2 linked regions of the Arabidopsis thaliana genome follow. The protein of the gene in region 1 purifies or fractionates together with the protein of each later gene. This does not show direct contact. Each region holds a gene or a part of one and is shown on either strand. Other genes may lie near its edges. The genes, in order: AT1G53060 and PPa2.

Region 1 (11,551 bases):
ACGACCTAGAAACTGTGATAGCTTTAACCTTATATATCGTGGATTTGTCAATATTTTAGTTTTAAATTTTAGTAATATCTTTTAAAAACTTATGTTAAGAAACTTGTGACATGAACAAACTGATTCAATTTGATGAGGACGATGACCACAATACCACGTGGTTGTGCTTTGGCTTTTAACGAGTCTTTATTTATACAAAATCAATGATGCATGTCCAAGAAGATCATTGACGGTGATGGTCCGGGACAGTGTGCATGTTTTCTTCTCAGGATTTTTTTTAATGGTTTAATCGATCAAAGTAATTTTAAATTTGATTTTGACATTTTATACGTACTCTCTTTTTAACCACTTTTGAATAAAAATCAAGAGAAAATACATAATTGTTAAACCGGTAACAAACATAAATCAAACCAAACAAGACCAAAATCAGAACTAATTGTTTTTGGCGGTGTTCTCAAAACTCCAGCTCCAAATGTCGTGACGCTCGACGCCACGACCCATCGAACCGGAAAAGCCGGTATACATAGTCTCAAGAACCACCTCCGAGAGATCAACTTGTGTTTCGATCAATGGCCTCTTCGGTTTCTTTAAATGCGCAGGTGCAAGCCAAACAATGACTTTACTGTTCTTATACTCAATCCAAGCTTTGTAGTTGTCTCCGCTACTAAGCTTCACTTCCTTAAACAACCATTGATTCTTCCCTCTAGTTCTTGTCTGAATCCAATACCCAGCTTTCTCAGAAACCTTTGAGTTAACAGAGTTAATATTAACACCAACATGATTATCATTAATATCACCAAAACGTTTGTCTTGGAAAACATCGAATTCGACCGCAAAGAGATGGTTATTAGGATTGCCATTGGTTGTGAGGTTAACTAGACCGAGGAAGCCGCGGGTTGAGTCTTGGTCGTACTCGTAGGCTACGGTTGGGACCACGATGAAGGCGATACCATGACCAGGGTTAGGGTTTGACCGTCGAGGAGTGATGGAGAAAGTGAAAGATGTTTTGAAAGAGTAAACAGAAGAAGATGTGTTGTTGGAAGATTTGAATGGGATTGGATCTGTGTAGAGACCTTGACCATGTGAGAATGGAATGTTGTCACGGGTCATGGAGAGAGCTCCGGACCGGCTCATGCCATCGGTTGCTGGTCCTAGCTCGGCGTACCCGATGAAGATTAGATTTGTTCCGTCGAAACGGTTGAAGTTGAATTTGACGGCGGAAATGGTTTTAGAGCTTAACAAAGATATGAACAGAACAAAAATACAGAGTTTGTGGATCTGCATTATGCGTTTGTTGTTTACGTGTGTATGTTTTTGTTTTTGGTGTTATGGAAGTGGAAGTAGTGCTGTAATATATAGTGTGACGAAAGCCAGTGAACTTCAACTATGACTTTTCAAACATATATAGAGGTCAAATATGATAGCGCCAACTGGGCACACGAAAAAGACTATTTTTTAGTGATAAACCATTGATTTCTGAATTCAAGATGGATGGAAAAAAAAAACTAAAGAACAAAACAATTATTATGAATCGAAAGGATTGTTAACTCTCTCTCACGACTTTACACATTAGCACATAGAGTTTGCCACATAAACTTCATAAAATAAGTAATAAATAATTAGTAATAAATAATTAGTAATAATTTAACATAACAACTAAAATAAGAGGATATAATTAATCAGAACTTGAACCATCACAGTTTTTATATTTTTTTTAATTCAATATATCCTCTTTAATTTTGAGATCTACTTGAGTGGTTAAAGTGATCATAAAATCCAAACATGTTACACATATTCCTTGCCTAAAAATTAGACGATTATTATGAAAGAAACTAAATGAATATGCAGATTAAATATATCTAAGCTTTTCGAGAATTATGCTAAGAAACAAGTATTTTGAAAGATGTTTGAGGAGCTATCCTTATAACTAATATGTAAGATATAAGATTATGACAAGAACTTAACTAAACTTTCCAAGAACATCAAGTTAAATATGATTAGATTTAATATGCAAAGACATGGTTAATAAAGACATGTTATATTTTTAGTATAAGAAACAAATTTTCTAAAATTTCACCGTCCCACAATCTAAACATATAACAAAAAAAACAAGGATATATAAATTTTAAAAAAACTGAGAATCTAGAACAACAATAAAAAAAAACAACTCAAGCATATTCGTTTTTCATATGAACTAATATAGTTGGACTTTTCAAAAACAATTACAAATCATATTTATGTTTCAAAACCGATGCATTCAACTTTACTTTATGTTATATGAACAAACATTATATAAAACAATTTGTAAATAGTAATACATAAACCCGCACGTAGTGCGGGTACTCATCTAGTTTATCATTAAAGTCGAATAAACACAATAACTCATAAGAAAATTTATCTAATCCTTACTACTAATTATATTTCCACTAGAGCCGGTCTTGATATTTAAGGAGTCCAAACGCAAGAAAAGATTGTTCTGGTATTTTTTGGACTAGTTATCAAAGAAATGACAAAACATTTTAAAAAATTAGAGTTCATGAAGGCTTTGTTATATTGCAAAGGGTCCATTTTTAGATTATTGTTTTGTTGATGAGGCCGAAAACTTTGGAGGTCCTAGATCAATGATTCCTTTCGCTTGTCGCATGGTCACCTTTGCCTAGCACGATCCTCCACCAAAAACACGTCAAATTCTATTCTAGCAGATTGATGATTGTAGTCAAATCACATCGTCGTAGGTAAAATTATGAGATGCTGTCTGTCCAAGCCTCGACAACGAGGACACACTCTTCAATTGGATAAAGCAAAAACACTAAAAAAATATCTCACTGAAAGAGGGAGAATACGAAATAGATATGAGAAAGAGCGTATATACAACCACGATATATAATCTCAAAGAGCATTCATCTCTATCACACTTTTACAACATAATCTGAAAGAAACGAGACAACTTTCCGACAATTCATCAAGTCCTCCTTTCCTTCGTTCCTAGATCTCTCATTTTCCAAGTCGCATCATGGAGTGTTATAATCCACTTGGCATGTAACATTTCCTCTTTAAAAGTCTTCCACAAAACAACATAGTTGGTAGTAGACTCTTTTTTTCCGGTAAACATGTTAAGATGTTTTAGACTATTTTGATAGTCCCATAACTACGATCTCCACATTTCTCCTATAAATCTGATTCTCATCTAGTCATGTTGGCCAATTTTGATAGAATGTAAAATCATTTTTTCTTTTTTTGTCAACGAGAAATGTAATTTAAAAGTGACTAACATAAAAGATTAGGAACGAAACGTCCTTGATTTCTACTAATCTGACAACAATAATACATCAAATTGTCGGTAAGACATAAAATGAGCAATTATTTCACTTCAATTATCACAAGCTGAAGGCACACCAGGGTAAACCAGAAACATAAACCAAAAGAAAACCGATGATCTCGAACCAAACCAAACCTGTTTTCTTAATTCTGGAAAGTCCAGTCCCAAATCTCGTGACGCTCGACACCACGACCCATCGAACCAGCAAAACCGGTATACATTACCTCGTGTATGACCTTGGAAAGATCGAATTTTGCTTCAATCAATGGCCGGTTCGGTTTCTTCAAATGCGCTAAACCAATCGTAACAGAGACTACTTTATAATTGTTGTTGTACTCAATCCAAGCCTTGTATCTATCTCCACTACTTAGCTTCAAATCCTTAAATAACCAACCGCTTCTTGTCATAACCCAATAACCGGATTTCACAGAAACCACCGAATCAACCGAATTAATATCGATTCCGACATGGTTATCGTTCATGTCGCCAAGAGATTTGTCTTGAAAGACATCGAACTCAACGGCAAAGAGGTGGTTATTAGGATTACCGTTATTGGTTCGGTTCAGAAGACTGAGATAGCCTAAACCGGAACCGGCGTCGTTTTGGTTACTTGGGACGACGATGAAAGCAAGGCCATGACCTTGATTAGGGTTTGTTTTAGGAGTAATGGAGAAAGTGAAAGAGGTTTTAAAAGGGTAAAGAGCTGAAGCATTAGGCTTGAAAGTGATTGGAGTGGTGAAAATGGCTCGACCATGAGAGAAAGGAATGTTGTCTCGAGTCAATGCGATGGCTCCGGACCGGCTCTTGCCATCAGTGTCAGGACCATACTCAGCGTCTCCATGGAATGATATTGGATCGGTGCCGTTACCAAAGTAATCGAATTTGAATTTGTAAGCAGTGGTGACTTGAGAGGTGAAGATAGCTAAGAACAGAGTGGTGAAACAGAGTATTTGGATCTTCATTTTTTAGTTCTGTTTTTGGGAATTTGGGAAGTGAAAGTGGTGAACTTTAAAAGATGTGAGTGTTGAAAAGATCGAGAAGACTTAAAATAATTGAGAGAGAAGAGAGACAAAGAATTTGAATTATGGCATTAGATGACAAAAGCTGTTCTCGAAAGTGCACAAAATGGTTCTACTTTTTCTGTGCCCACAATGCTGAAAACAAAAACGTTATGAGTGTATAGGAGGAAATTAAAACTAGTATTGATTGAATAAACTTATATATGTATATAAGTTAGTCTGTCCTAATATATAGGTTAGGAAAGATATAAGTTAGTCCACATTCATGATCAAATCTATCATATTTCATTAAGTTATACCAAAACCAAATTTTTCTTAATTAACAATATACTATGTGTCCTTTATATATTAAAAGTTTTTAGTGCTTATGTGACAATCCCACATTTTTTCTCTCAGCTTTTTTACTATTTAATTATTTTGTTATAACTATCAATTTGTCAAACACATTTTTCTTTATCCTCATTCTCTTTAAACCATTTAGTCATTTACCAAACACATTTAAATTTTTTTCAAATATATAGAGTTACCAAATCATGTATTTTTAACTTCTCTTATTATCACCAAATTAACAATTTCCATTATGTGTATATATGTATATTAAATGGTTAGATTTTTCTTTAATGTCATTCAATTTGATTATGACCTAAAAATTAACAAAGTTTGATACTAAAGAAACATTTGTTTACTTTTAAATCACTCCATTTAACTTTTAAATCATCACCATTTAGTTCTAAAGTTTTTAAACCAAAATAGAATGTCTTAGTAAATAATATAAAATAAAAAAATAAAAAAAAAATATATTAAAAAAATCAACCTAACTTATAAATATACTTTATTGATAAAATATGTATATATATTATTGGATTGTTTTTGTTTAAACCATGCAATGAAGTAATCATTGGATTGTTTTTGTTGTTGCAAACTTGCAATGAGGTTACAAAAAGGGAAAGAAGACGAGACGACTCGTCCAGAAAAAGGTCGGAGAAATTTTGAGATGAGAGCCAAATCAGGCGAAATAGGGCTTACCCGACTTGATGATAAAGAAGTATCATGATATGGTTGGATGTCATACGTATGTGTTCAAATTTCCTTACTGGTACATTTTTTTTGTGTGTGGAGAGTAGTCTATTTTCATGGTGTGATTAAGTTTGTATACCGAGTTTCACTCAATGAAACGTATTGTGTGAGAATATGTTTCAAATGACGAATATTTGTAGTTAATTCTTGACATAGATCGTTGCAGGAAAGGATCTATGTTGAAGCCTACATAGGCACATGCCTTACTGGTTTTTCAGCAATTTACCGTCTCATAGAAGATTACGATATCTAATAGTTCTTACTATGGAAATGGATCCTTTATTGTAAATCTTTCTAGAAATCTGAAAGTAGATACATGGCACGTTAGGCCATAACATAAGCATTTATTAGCCTTCAACTATCACTAGCCTTAGCATCACGAGATTCACGACAGAAAACGAAGCTGCAAAACCAGTAACAACTTTGACATAAACAAAGCTGAAGCAAACCGGTTTATTAGTCTTTGGCACTGTTCTCAAAACTCCAGTCCAAGATCTCGTGACGCTCGACGCCACGTCCCATTGAACCGGCAAAACCGACATACATTTTCTCGAGAAAAACCTTAGAAAGATCGACTCGTGCTTCGATCAATGGCCTCTTCGGTTTTTCTTGTGAACGTCCGATCGTGACTGTCACTTTCCCGTTCTCGTACTCAATCCAAGCCCTGTATCCGTTTCCACTTAGCTTCAATTCCTTGAACAACCACCGGTTTTTTCCTTCGATTTTTGATTGATACCAATAACCGGCCTTCTTAGATACCGTTGAATTAACCGAATTATTGTTGATTCCGATATGGTTATCGTTAATGTCGCCAAGAGACTTGTCTTTAAAAACATCAAACTCAACCGCAAAGAGATGGTTCTTGGGATTACCGTTGCTAAACCGGTTCACAAGACTGAGATAGCCTAAACCAGAAGCGGAGTCGTTTCTATCGTTGGGGACGATGATAAAGGCGAGGCCATGACCGGGATTAGGATTTTTCGGGCGAGGACTAATGACGAAATAGAAAGAAGTTTTGAAAGAGTAGACAGAGGAAGAAGTAGAACTAGGCTTAAAAGGGACTGGATTGATGAAAATGGCTCGACCATGAGAGAATGGGACATTGTCACGGCTCAATCCAATTGCTCCTGACTTGCTCATACCATCAGGCTCTGAAGCGTACTCGGCGTCTCCATGGAATGTCATCAGATCAGTTCCATTTCCGAAGTAAATGAAGTCGAAACTGTAAGCAGAACACGTTATGGCGTGAGAGCAAAACAGAGCAAAAAACAGAGGAATGAAACAGAGTGTTTTGATCTGCAATTCTGTTTATTTTTTTCTTGGATATGGAAAGTATAAGAGGATAACAAGATTTATATAGTGAAAGAGAGCCAACAAAGTTTGACTCGACAAGATCATTTATTTTTCACAAGTAAAGATCTCGTAACACCTTTCTTGGTAAATTTCATAAAAAGTCACAAATTAAAAAGTTCAACTTTTGGAACATTTTCTAAATTATGATATATAACTCTGTTTCTACAGCTTTCTTATAATAAAATAATATCACATTACAGGGAAGCTAAAACGTGAAAAGATTTGATTCTATGATGATATATAATCTTTGAATCAATAAAATACAATTATTTTTCACTCAAAATACGCCGTGTTAAAAGGTTTCAGGCAAATGAGGTTCGGTTTGATCATTTACTTTTGCCTCACTGATGGATCAACGGCTAGAAACAGATGAGGGATGATTGGTTGCGACTTGTTGGCTCGAAGCTTCGTCAGCTTGAAGTTTCTTGACTCGAGCCTTATCGATTCGTGCTCTTCTCACAGCTTCTTGGATATGTCGGTCATGGTCTTTCAACACTTGATCCATGTTTCCTGATGGAACCACTAACGGTCCTGAGTAATGAATCTTGTGCCCTTTTGATCCATAACCCAACTGCAAACCAAACCATACAACTCAGAATATTAACATTGCTAGTCTTCTAAAATTAGCAAAGGAGGGACGTTTAGGGAACTTACGAGAATAGGGTCTTTCTTGTTGCTTCGACCATTCTCTTCCTGGTTTGCTTCTTCAGACGTTTCCTTGAATGAACCTGGAAGCCGAGTCATTCCTCTGCAAGTCTCTTGTTGTGGTGCGCCTGTTCTTGTTGCGGCAAAACCAGGCATTGCTGAGTAATCAGCTATGGATGAAACCTTTTGAGAATCTTGGTAATTCCGTCTACCCTTTGCGGAAGCAGATCTACGTGATAGAGGACCAGAATGTGAAGCTCTCTTGTGAGGAATTATATTGCCCTGAGATTCTCTGTTTGGTTCAAATGCTTGTGATGACGGCCTTGGTGGATCGATTGGGAAACCGGATGCAACTTCTTCAGGATGTGGATTAAACTTCTCGCTTCGACTTCTATTAGTAGACTGGCTCTGCCTTTTCTGCAATGACATAAATGCGAGAGGGTCAAAAACGTTGAATAAAAGCAAAAAGCTTTAACATCGAAAGAAATAGATTTTTTAAGATTTTTTAACCTGCATTGATGCAACCAGCTCTGCATTTGCGTCAGGGGCTGGGATGGCTCGAGATTCCTTAGTTCCTCTTCTTTCTTGGTGTCTTTGGTCCCTGTTTCCTCCAACTTGTCTACAAAAACAGGAACTAGATTAAAGCATTTCTATAAATATTTCTTTTTGCGTTAATGATACTATGCTATCGTAAGAGCATTGCAGGATAAAAGTCACATCAGACTAGAAAATCTGGATGGCATACCTTCTACTTTCCTCATCCCGCATTCTTGCATCGAGCTCTTTGCTGGGAGGATATTTAGGCAAGCTTGAAGGATCACATGGAAGAGGTCTGGTGGAGAAGAACTGAAAATAAAAGAATGATAATTTGATGTTACAAAAGCGATTACCAGGAAATACAGACGCATAAGAACACACAGCTTTTACTGCCTGAGTAATGCCAGTACCTCACTCTTGAGAGCTGCAGTGGCAGTTCCACGATCGTCAGGATTGACTGAAAGGAGAGTTTCAAGAAGGGCTAAAGCTGGCTGAGGAAACTCCTTGAATGTTTCACCCACTAAGCGTTTATATGGTTGAGTAGGCTTGAAAATTGTTGCATGAGGCAACCTTGATTTTACCCAATAGTCCTCGGTAGGCGAGCCACATAGCTTGAAAATCTTGTGCAACTGTTCCACCTGTAACACCATAAGCATTACCAGAGTCACCTTACGAAACCAAACTAGTCTAACATAAATCAGAGCAAACACTAAAAGAGAAAACAAAAACTGTAAATCTACCTCGGTTCTACCAGGCATAATAGGCTTGCCTGCATATAGTTCAGCAAGAATGCAACCTGCACTCCACAAATCAACTGCTGCTCCATAGCGAGTTGCTCCGAGCAAAAGCTCAGGTGGACGGTACCAAAGAGTTACCACACGACTGGTCAAAGGCTGAGTTTGACGAGGATCAAAGAAACTAGCTAATCCAAAGTCAGCAATCTTTAAAACTCCACTATTATCTATTAGCAGGTTTGAGCCTTTTATATCCCGATGGAGTACACCACGACTGTGACAATGGTCTAGTCCATGTAATAGTTGCTGCAGGTAGCACTTAACCTGTATGAAAAGAAAGCCCAGCCTCAGAAAATTGTACTGAAAGTGGTGCCTAGGTCATGAAGATGTTGAATAGAAACAAAAAAAAGTTACCTGTGATTCAGAAAATTTTATCGCGGGATGCGAGGCTAGCCCAGCTAAATCGTGTTCCATGTACTCGAAAACAAGATATAAGCTGCAAGACATTCTTGACGTAACTAAGCCTTCTAGCTTTATGATATTAGGATGATCAAGCCGGCGTAATATCTGGATTTCTCTAGCCATAAAACGCACACTTTCTGGCTCCAAGTTATCAAACCTAACTTTCTTCAAAGCCACAATTTTCTTCTGATCCAGGTCGCGAGCCCTATATACATTACTATAAGTGCCCTGACCAATCTGCATAAAACAATTAAAACCGCTGCATCAGGGATCATTCTTCACAGCTATAAGTTCAAAACCTTTTCAGGTCATGTTATATAGTTTTAAAAACCATCAACTGAAAAACAAAATCCACTTTCAATAACATAAAAGCATCATTTACTGCAACCCATATCTTTGGAGCTTAGGATATGTTTCTAAATACGGAAACATGCCACTATATGTCATGCAATCAAAAGAGTCTATTTAACAGTATTTTCAAAATGAATGTATATATACAAAGAAAAGAAGATTACTTTGTCCAACTTCTCAAAAGAATCCGCACGCCGAGGAACCCATCCCCTGATAGCTTCTCCAGCTACAGAAGCCAGCCATGGAGGCCAACCTGCAGCTACATACTCTCCTTCAGTTGCTTTAGCTATGGTAATACTCATTGCAAGAGGTGAAGTAGCAGCAACATTCTCAATCCTCTTCTCTCTTCTACTCAAATTCTCTCCACGCAAATGCAACGAAACATTGGATTGCTTATTACTCAACACTGGTCTTACACTAACAACATCAGACCGTTCCTTAATCCTAAGCGGCTCCTCCCTTCTAGAAGAAGCAACCGGTCTTGAAACTCTAAACTCAGAAGAGGATTTGCTTGAGAAACGCTCTCTTGGACTATCTTTGCTATCTTCAATAGCAGAAGGCTTACCACAAACACAACCCATCTCCCTCAATTTACCCCCAAATTTTTTTGATACTTAGAACCAAAAATAATCTTTACACAATTCATCCATCTTCTTCCACTAGCTAATTAAATGGACCACATGAAAAAACTAGACCCATTAAAACACATAAAGTCAGAGACTTTCCAAAAAGGAGAAACGAAATTAAGGAACCCTAGAACTCGAAGAACAGTGTATATAACCCAGAAAAAAAAAGGAATGATTTTTACTCAATCTGCAAAATGTACCCAGATCAAGAAGATTGTTCAGGCATTAATAACTACAGTGTAGTACAAAAAAACCCAGGATTATAACTTTTGTGCATAAAGCAAGTACCTTTCAAGAGATTGAAGAGAGAGAGAGACGACTAAAAAAACCAGAAGCAAAATGGTAAAATTGAATAATTTGCAGGAATAACTAATAAACAATGGAGCTTTCGAGAATAATTATGAGGAGAAATCAAAAGGGTTTAAGAGTGTTTGCTTGAGAGAGAGATGGATCTGGGGCGGAGAGATTTCTGAGAGACGCATGTGTTGTTGAAGCACAATGTTGAATGAATTAAAAAACCTTTGTAAAAATTGGAAACTCCAAAAAGTAATATTATGAGCATTTTAATAATAATAAATACGTTCGGTAGTGTGAATTTTTTTTTCACTTATGTATTTATGAGTATAGTTGTATTTCGCAGTTAATAACTTATTTAATAGTTGAACCCAAAAAAAAACCTTACCATTTAATTTACTTTTTTGTGTGGGACAAAATCGAAACTGGATAATGAGAAAGACATTCTCGATGTGATTCGTTAAAAAACACTTTTTCTAATCTTAAATAATCATAATTAAAAAAACTAATCAAACCCTTATTTTCATATTTGTTTTCCAACTCATTTAAAATTTTGAACTAATTGTAAAATAAATTCACCAAAAATTAAATACATTATACAGTTTACGTAATAAATATCATTATATAAAGAAATAATATCGTAAATCAGTGTAACGAGTATCAAAAATATCACTATAACACGGTTTATGTTTTTAAAAAAAAATACATTCTAATAAAATTATATTATTATAATCTTATGACGGACAATTTGTTACATATTCATATTACAGTGAATTGTAAGAACTAGTATTGTATTTGTCTTTTTTAACTCTATACAAAACTAAATTTTTGTTCTTTACGAAGTAAAGAAAAACAAGAATAGTGAATCTATAGACTATAATTTAATATTCAAAGCGCGTAAACTTCATGTTCATGCAACGAGAGTATTGAAATTTTCTATTGAGGTAAACGTCAAAAGCCTTTTCGCTTTCGCTTCCATCTTCCATATGTAATTTATTTTTAATTCCCATAATCCCTGCACTAATGAAATTAAGATAGATTTTTAAATAGGGACGTTATAGTTTGAATGAAGTAATTATACAATTTTAGTCTCCAAGTCATTTCTATTTTGCTATCTACCTGACTTTAAGATAC
Region 2 (7,752 bases), on another chromosome or scaffold:
AGATAGAGCTGAGGACATGGAGGATGGTTCTCATATAGTTTTTGAATGATTTTTGTTAGCCTCCTGCGATACAAACAATAACTCAGATTAATCAACCTAATATACAAAGAAGAAGCAGATGGGTTGTCTACTGTGTGGTGTGAAGCTTACGTATTGACGTCTGGGTGGTTTAAGAAGATGGGGAAGAGTTTCTCCAGAGATGATAGCATTATGTTTTCGATTCCTAAAGGTTCCTTCTTTTGTGGTGTTGAAGCATCCTCTTCTTTTATGGGACTGTTTGGTTCTGTGGTTATGGTGGAGCTACGCTTCTTCAGTATAGCCGCGGTAAACCCCGCTGCCCAAATCTGCAAAAGAACAGAATTCAATTGTTGATCTATAAAATCTGCACAGGTGTACGCATTGCTAATCTTATGCAAGATGAATGATTATGATGGCTTATTAGGACTACGCAATGATTAAGCAATTTTCAACAAAAGGGGCTTCAGAACAAACTCAGGCACATACTATGAAGCTCATTTTATCTTGTTCACATGCCTAAGACATCATATCTTGCAAGAGAACAAGATCACATTCACAAGATATATAGGCCGATGTACTATAAACCTGTGAGTGATGGCTACGTAACCAAAAGAAATCAGCGGTTTTAACTCATAGCTATATAGTCTTTTCTAAGTACTGAGTTATCTATCTACAAAGCTAATTGCTTAGATATCAAAATCAAAAGTCCCCTAGCCATGGTTCTGCAAATGCTTGTAATCGATACAAAGTTCTTCAACATAGAACTCAAACTAGCAAAGCTTTCACACTAGCATAAAATGAATCATTATTGAAAAAGAGGACAACATAGCTCAAATAGAATTTTTCACTTCACAACAATATTGACATTTCCACTTCCAATACAAGATCTTGAAGCAGTGGAGAAACCATTGAATAGCATTTAAAACTCTTGGTTACATGAAAGAGAGAACAAACCTTAGTATCAAGAGGATCTGCTCCTCCCGAGTCAATGATACAACCCTTAATCCTTTCTACTAAATCTTGTCTACCAATGAAGCTCTCTAGCAAGGCACCATATCTACCAAAAGTAAAAAAGCCCACCATGCTTAAAATTCATCATCTAATTCAAATCAACACTAAATCACAATCGCAATCACAATGTAGGATTTTGAAGGATTTTGGTTTCATCAACCTACACAAGCCAACCAGTGTTACTGAAACTGTGAAACACCAAGCATTTCTCTCTACCATCATCTTCTTTCTCCGATACCCAATTAACCAATTCATTCCCAAATTCAGCTATCCTTCGTTCAAGCCGCCGACCAAGATCTAACCGGAGCAAATCCCTAACGTCAACAGTGAAAGTAACGGCGTTAATTCCCCTGGAGTTGTACCACTCAACGTATCTCCTTAGATGTTTAGCTTTCGCTCCTAGCCAACCAAGGAGAACCACCGTCGTCTCTTTCCCCTCGTTCCCGCCGAATATCGCCGCGTTTCCACCTCCGTTCACGATCCGTGGAGCTCTGTTCCAGACGGCGACGCCGTCGTTAGGTTCGGATCGGAATGGATTAGCGTGAACGGCGGTGTTCTCGAGACGAAACGTTGACGTTAGGAAGAAGAGTGATCTGAAGAGATTCGCATTCGCAGGGAGCGAAGAGCACCGTATACGAGCGGCGGAGATAGAGGATTTTCGGGTAACGGCATTGTGTAGTAGCTGATTTGTGGAATTGATATTACGGGGATCTGATTTTAGATTGAGCTTACTGAGAAGAAGAAGACGATTGAGAGCAGAAGAAGTACTCAAGATTCTTGTAGTTGCTTCCATGGCGGATTTTGGATGATTCGCAGAAACCAAAAAGCTCTTCTCGTCAAATCGCTGATAAGTGATGAATAAATATCTGAAAAGAAAATAAAAATAGAATATTTATAGGAAATTAAACAGTCTTGCTGAATTAGCGGGTTTCCCTTATGCCTTGGAGCTGATTCAATCTCTCTTTTCAGACTTTGAAATGTTCCATTTTGGTTTACACCATCTTTTTCTCGGATCAAAGAGTACAACATATCTGAATTGGACAACAGTCTGCGGTTTTACGCACTGCACTTCCTCGGAAACTGTCTTATAGAGTCTCTCCAGTAATCTCTCATTGCTATATCCTTCACTATATTTTGTTGTTGTTGCAAATGTAATTGTGCATAAACCCTATGAATATTTGCCAAACCGATATCTAAACCAATAGAAGTCAAGAGACATAAATGCTTGAGAAGTATACTAACCTAGGAAGTCAAGTAAGTACACTCGAGTCCACACAGTTCTCCGAGTATGATGACCAATCTGTATCTGTTTCTGCAAAGAGATTTGGACCAGTGCTTGGTATTGGAGGCTGTCAACACAGCTTTGTGTGATTAGTTGTGTCCAGAGTAGTATCCAAGTCCTGGAACTGTAAAGAATACTTTTTCCTACTTGTGATTCCCAAATTCATTTAAACGTATAATTGTAAAATACACTGTTACACATTACAATGCAAAAACCGGAAAATGCAGGAGATTACTCAAAACTCAGAGAGATTTCTTAGTTCTGTTAAGCTTCAAGAACTTTGTTTTCCTATTCCACCAGCATGGCTATAGTATATTTTACTTTGATATCCTTAGTTTGTATCCTTTCTTGCTTCGCCTATCACCACGTCGAGATCAGTACCTGATCTACTGTTCGCATCTAATCTTGTTTTTCATTTCCCTGAGATGAATTGCTGCTGCTGGGCCTATCATCTCCACCATCACCCTTCTGTCAAAAACATCAGCACAATCTATGTTCAGCACTCTTAACTTTCTAAAGCAGAGATTCAAGACTATCCAAAAGAAATCGAATACAAATCACCCCGTTGCACGATTTACCTTGAGTCTTAAAAAGGTCAGGACACTGTTTACAAGAAACTTGAGCAGCTTCACAGGCTTTCTTACATCGAAAGGAAAGTATCTATACTTGAACATGTGCACGATTAAGCGTTTCATAGTTAAAGAATACAAAACCAACCAGTAACACAACAAGATCGGCCAGAACACAGGCACATCCAGGAAAGAGAAGAATGTCATCACAAATGCAACAACAAATGCTTTAGTCGCTGCATACCTGAAAATCAAAATTGACAAACTTTCATGAGAATTCAAACCCTAAAGCAGACCATTAGACCTAAATCAGTTCTCATACGAATTCACTATCATAACAATCATCAATCAAATTGTCTCAAAAGAAGAAATCTACCAGAACTTTAACAATGAATGGTAAAAACACAAACTTTTCGACAAACCTAAATCAAAATCATCCATCATCAAAAGTAAAAGAGAAATTTTACCAGAACTTGAACTCAGGAAGACGACGAACAAAGGGCTTATACTCATCAGACTCATCAACAGGTAAAGAATCAGGATCCAAAGCTTCAAGTTCAGGATCAACTTTAGGGGAAAGGAAACCAATCAAGAGATTTAAGATATAAGTAGCTAAGCCATAAGAGATAACGAAGTATCCATAAACAGAGTAAACCCTATAGATATAGATCACTGCAGCGACTAAAGTCACAAGCCATCTTCGAACAATGTTAGGAGCAGATCTGTCTAAGTAATTCTGAAACGATTTCGAGAATTCGATTCTCCATTTTGCAAGTGGTGAAGCAACTATGGTGTCTGCTTCATTTTCGCTTCCTGGTTCGTCTTCCATGGAAATTGAACACAAAATCTGCTTTTTCTTCACCTCAAAAACTGGGTCTGGTTATAAATTCTAATCACAATCACTGAACTTCGAATCAACTTCAAAAATCGATTCAAAACAATCTACTCGATTTAGGATGATTTTGAACCAATTAAATTGAAAGTTTCTCAGTTTCGTCTGAATTTTTCTTAGTCGTATTAAAGTCTTGGTTTTTCTGGAAAGAAGAGGAAGAAACTGAATGACGTGGGGAGAAGGAACATGACACGTGTCGCAAAGTAAGATACTTTTGTTAAACATGTTGGGCTTCATAAAATATTTGTTTAAGCCCAGTAGGGAAAATATGTTGAACTTTTTTTGGTTTTTACATGGAACGATTCGATATTCTGTGAGGCCCAACCAGAAAGAATCCAAAACCGAATCTTTTTTGTTTCTCTGGGACCTTAAACCGAATTTTAACGTTTTGCGTATGATTCTCTAGACTTGTAATTCTAGTTGACAGTCACCAAAAAAACACTGCTCGATGGTCACATCCATACGACACAGTTTTTTTGGTTGTGGTTAACCCCACAGCTCAATAATGATCATTTTTTCCCATTTGACATATTAGATACTTATGAAAAAAGAAAAATATCAAAAGTGGTAATTTGTTATTCAACTTGTTTTTGTGACAGAATAATGAAAACAAAAAAGAAAATAATAAATACACAGAATAATGAGTGACTGATTTTGAGTGAAAACAAAAAAGAAAGAAAGAAGAATGAGTGATATAAATTCATTTCTTTATCCTAAGAAAATAATAAATTTGTTTGCCAAAAACAGACAAAATAAAATAAGGAATTCACTGAAAGAAATTGCCTAATTTTCAGGACACGCGTCATATAACAATTTGTTAGTCGGATACTTTTTTGGTACATCACTGTCGTCTCTTTTTCTTTTCGTTCAATTAAAAGGTACACTAACTATTTTTTTAAGAAAGATATTAAAATCTTGAAAAACCATGGCCGTCAGATCCATTAACCTTTCAAATTCAACGGACACGATTCATCGTACGATTGACGATGAACAATAACCGAGGAAAAAGTGACGTCAGCGTCTTCTTCCTCCTCCAACGTCCCATAAAGAAGCGCCACACACACAGTCACACGAAAACTCTACTGTAACTGCAAAATCTTGTTGTTTTCTTAAACGAAGAGAGAAGAAAGAAAGAAAAAAACGTTACGGATTCTCTGCTTCGGTTTCGCGATTGAAGCTTGAGATTTCATCTGTAAGATCATCTTCTTCTTCTTCTCTCGTTTCTTTTTTTCCTTCGAAATCCGTCGATTAGGTCATTTTTAGTTTATCTTCTCCTGTTAATGGTACTTGTTTTGATCACTTCTTGTTGAATCGAAGCGATTTCGTTTGATTTTGCTATTTTCTTGTTGGTTTCGTTTCGTTTTGAGCGCCGAGTACTTGGATTGGTCTTCACAGATGATCGATTCGTCGATTATCTTTCATTTGTTTGGATTAGTTCTGTTTTTCGATTCTATTTCAGTTTCCAATTGATGTAGCTTAGACTAGTTGGTGATTTGAGTGTTTTGATGTGTATTTACATGAAATCGATGATGGATCTATGTTCTTCGCATATCTCTGATACTTTAGCCTTTCGCGTTGTTAGATATTTGCCTAAGATGATATTGAGTTGCATTAGAACAGTGAACCATCGTAGAAATGTGTGCTTCATTTCTCTGCTCGGATTTGAACAGTCATTTTTTATGGTTTATAAGATTGGATTCTGCTGGAATGTTGAAGGATTTGTCTGGTGGTTATTGTATGAAATGGTTAAGTAGTGAGAATAATTTATATGGCCTGTTTTGAGTTTGGTATATGATTGAATGAGACTCTCCTTTTGTTTGCATATTATAGTGAACATCCGATATGGCTGAAATCAAGGATGAAGGAAGCGCCAAGGGCTATGCTTTCCCTCTCAGGAACCCTAATGTTACGCTGAATGAGAGAAACTTTGCAGCCTTCACTCACAGATCAGCTGCTGCTCATCCTTGGCATGACTTGGAGATTGGTAAGAATCCTTGTCTTTGTTACTTTGAATAGTCATGTGAGTCAAGTGTTGATTGTTTGATGTAAGTGTTTTGTTTGTTGAATCTTTCAGGTCCAGAAGCTCCTACTGTTTTCAACTGTGTAAGTTTTATCTTCTTCTACATTGCGGAAGATTAGATCATATTAAGAAAGTTAGTGCTGGTCTTGTGATTGTTAAATGTGCTTGAATTCTTTGTCAGGTTGTTGAAATTAGCAAAGGTGGAAAGGTTAAGTACGAGCTAGACAAGAACAGTGGCCTTATTAAGGTACAGTGTTCTTTGGCAGTCTCTGCTTGCATCATATATGCTTTGATTGAGTATAACCTGTCTTCTGATCCCTCAATATATAGTCTGATTATGCGGTTATATGAGGAATTCTTTGTTGCTAGATATATCATAAGTCACATTTTATGCATTCCAACTAAATATCCTTCACCGTAAGAGTCGAAATGAAGAAAAACTCTGATCACTGAAAGTTTTCCTCTCTAGGTTGATCGCGTTCTCTACTCATCCATTGTGTACCCCCACAACTACGGTTTCATCCCTCGAACTATCTGTGAAGACAGTGATCCAATGGATGTCCTGGTACTGATGCAGGTGCTTTCTCTCGCCTCATCTTAGCTTTCATGTTCATACAAACTTGATGTAAACAGGCAGTGAAATAACAGACTTGAGATAAAATACTGTGCAGGAGCCTGTGCTAACCGGATCATTCCTCCGTGCCCGTGCTATTGGTCTAATGCCCATGATTGATCAGGTAACAAAAACTCTTAAACCCAATTCTACCTCTATGTAATGTATTACCTTAGTAAGAAACCAGGAATCACCTTGTTCTGAAACTTGCAGGGTGAGAAAGACGACAAGATCATTGCAGTATGTGCTGATGATCCCGAGTTCCGTCACTACAGAGACATCAAAGAGCTTCCCCCTCACCGTCTAGCTGAAATCCGTCGCTTCTTTGAGGACTGTATCCTACAGAGACATGTTGCATTTAACGTATAATTTTGTTTTCGCTTATGATTTGTTTTCAGTTTTCACTTAACAAACAATGTTTTTAGACAAGAAGAACGAGAACAAGAAAGTCGACGTTGAAGCTTTCCTTCCCGCTCAAGCTGCCATAGACGCTATCAAGGACTCCATGTAAGTTTGTTTTATCCCAAACACCAAATTATTTACACGTTGTTTTGTTAATAATGAGCAATGTACTGTTTTGAAACGCAGGGATCTTTACGCAGCTTACATCAAAGCTGGCCTGCAACGCTAATGAAGAAACCAGTCCTTTTCCGTTCCTCCCGGTTTGCTTAGACATCACTGAAGCCGCCTTCTATACTACATGCATGTTAGATAAAATTTCAATTGGTGCATTTAATTTCGTAATGCTCATCAGAAAACATTGTTGAACTTAAAGCTTTCTGATGATGATGAAAAATTTCCAGTACAATCATAAAATTTGAAATATTAGCTTTTCTTTTCCCCAAAATTTTGTTTAATGTTGTTTCGCAAACATCCGAAAAGTACTCTCATACAAATCGAAGAAGATACAAAAAAAACTTAAGAAGCTACTCGGGCCTTCTTCTTCTTGGTCTTTTTGTAAGCCTTATGCCAGGTCTTATAAGTGCCCTTAGTCTTCTTAGATGTCTTGGTCTCAGGATCTGCAATTTCGTCTACTGCATCATCTTCATCTTTGTCTCCTCCTATATCAAACAGATCCTCTTCCTCTTCATCAGAACTCAACACAAAATCCTCCACAACGTCATCTTCTCCTAAGCCTTGCTCATCCTGCTTCTTCTCTGTTTTACTCTTTCCACCTCTCTTCCTTTTCTTCTTTTTCGTTTTCTCTTCTTCCGGCTCTTTTTCTCTGTTAATTACACATTTGTTGTTTTAGGTTATATCACAACGGTCAGATAAAATATCTACGTTATAGGCGTAGGAGACAACCCGGTTCCCATCCTATCTATATTCTTAAGTTGATAAAGCCAC

The links.
Region 2: the proteins of AT1G53060 (region 1) and PPa2 fractionate together in Arabidopsis thaliana (co-fractionation; one large-scale study listed by BioGRID). This does not show direct contact.

Annotation. Positions count from the first base shown.
Region 1 is NC_003070.9:19,771,101-19,782,651, reverse strand, and holds AT1G53060 (Legume lectin family protein), read right to left. Parts: upstream 6,730-11,551; 5' UTR 6,601-6,729; coding exon 5,872-6,600; 3' UTR 5,622-5,871; downstream 1-5,621. Other genes in the region: AT1G53080 (Legume lectin family protein), read right to left, coding at 433-1,284; AT1G53070 (Legume lectin family protein), read right to left, coding at 3,463-4,281; AT1G53050 (Protein kinase superfamily protein), read right to left, coding at 7,121-7,339, 7,423-7,830, 7,924-8,032, 8,159-8,259, 8,361-8,588, 8,691-9,008, 9,099-9,383, 9,662-10,078.
Region 2 is NC_003071.7:7,931,423-7,939,174, reverse strand, and holds PPa2 (pyrophosphorylase 2), read left to right. Parts: upstream 1-4,821; 5' UTR 4,822-4,964; intron 4,965-5,602; 5' UTR 5,603-5,614; coding exon 5,615-5,756; intron 5,757-5,846; coding exon 5,847-5,875; intron 5,876-5,973; coding exon 5,974-6,039; intron 6,040-6,261; coding exon 6,262-6,369; intron 6,370-6,463; coding exon 6,464-6,529; intron 6,530-6,618; coding exon 6,619-6,739; intron 6,740-6,830; coding exon 6,831-6,912; intron 6,913-6,993; coding exon 6,994-7,036; 3' UTR 7,037-7,252; downstream 7,253-7,752. Other genes in the region: AT2G18245 (alpha/beta-Hydrolases superfamily protein), read right to left, coding at 1-63, 151-344, 973-1,075, 1,194-1,822; AT2G18240 (Rer1 family protein), read right to left, coding at 2,711-2,779, 2,890-3,124, 3,348-3,709; AT2G18220 (Noc2p family), read right to left, coding at 7,324-7,630.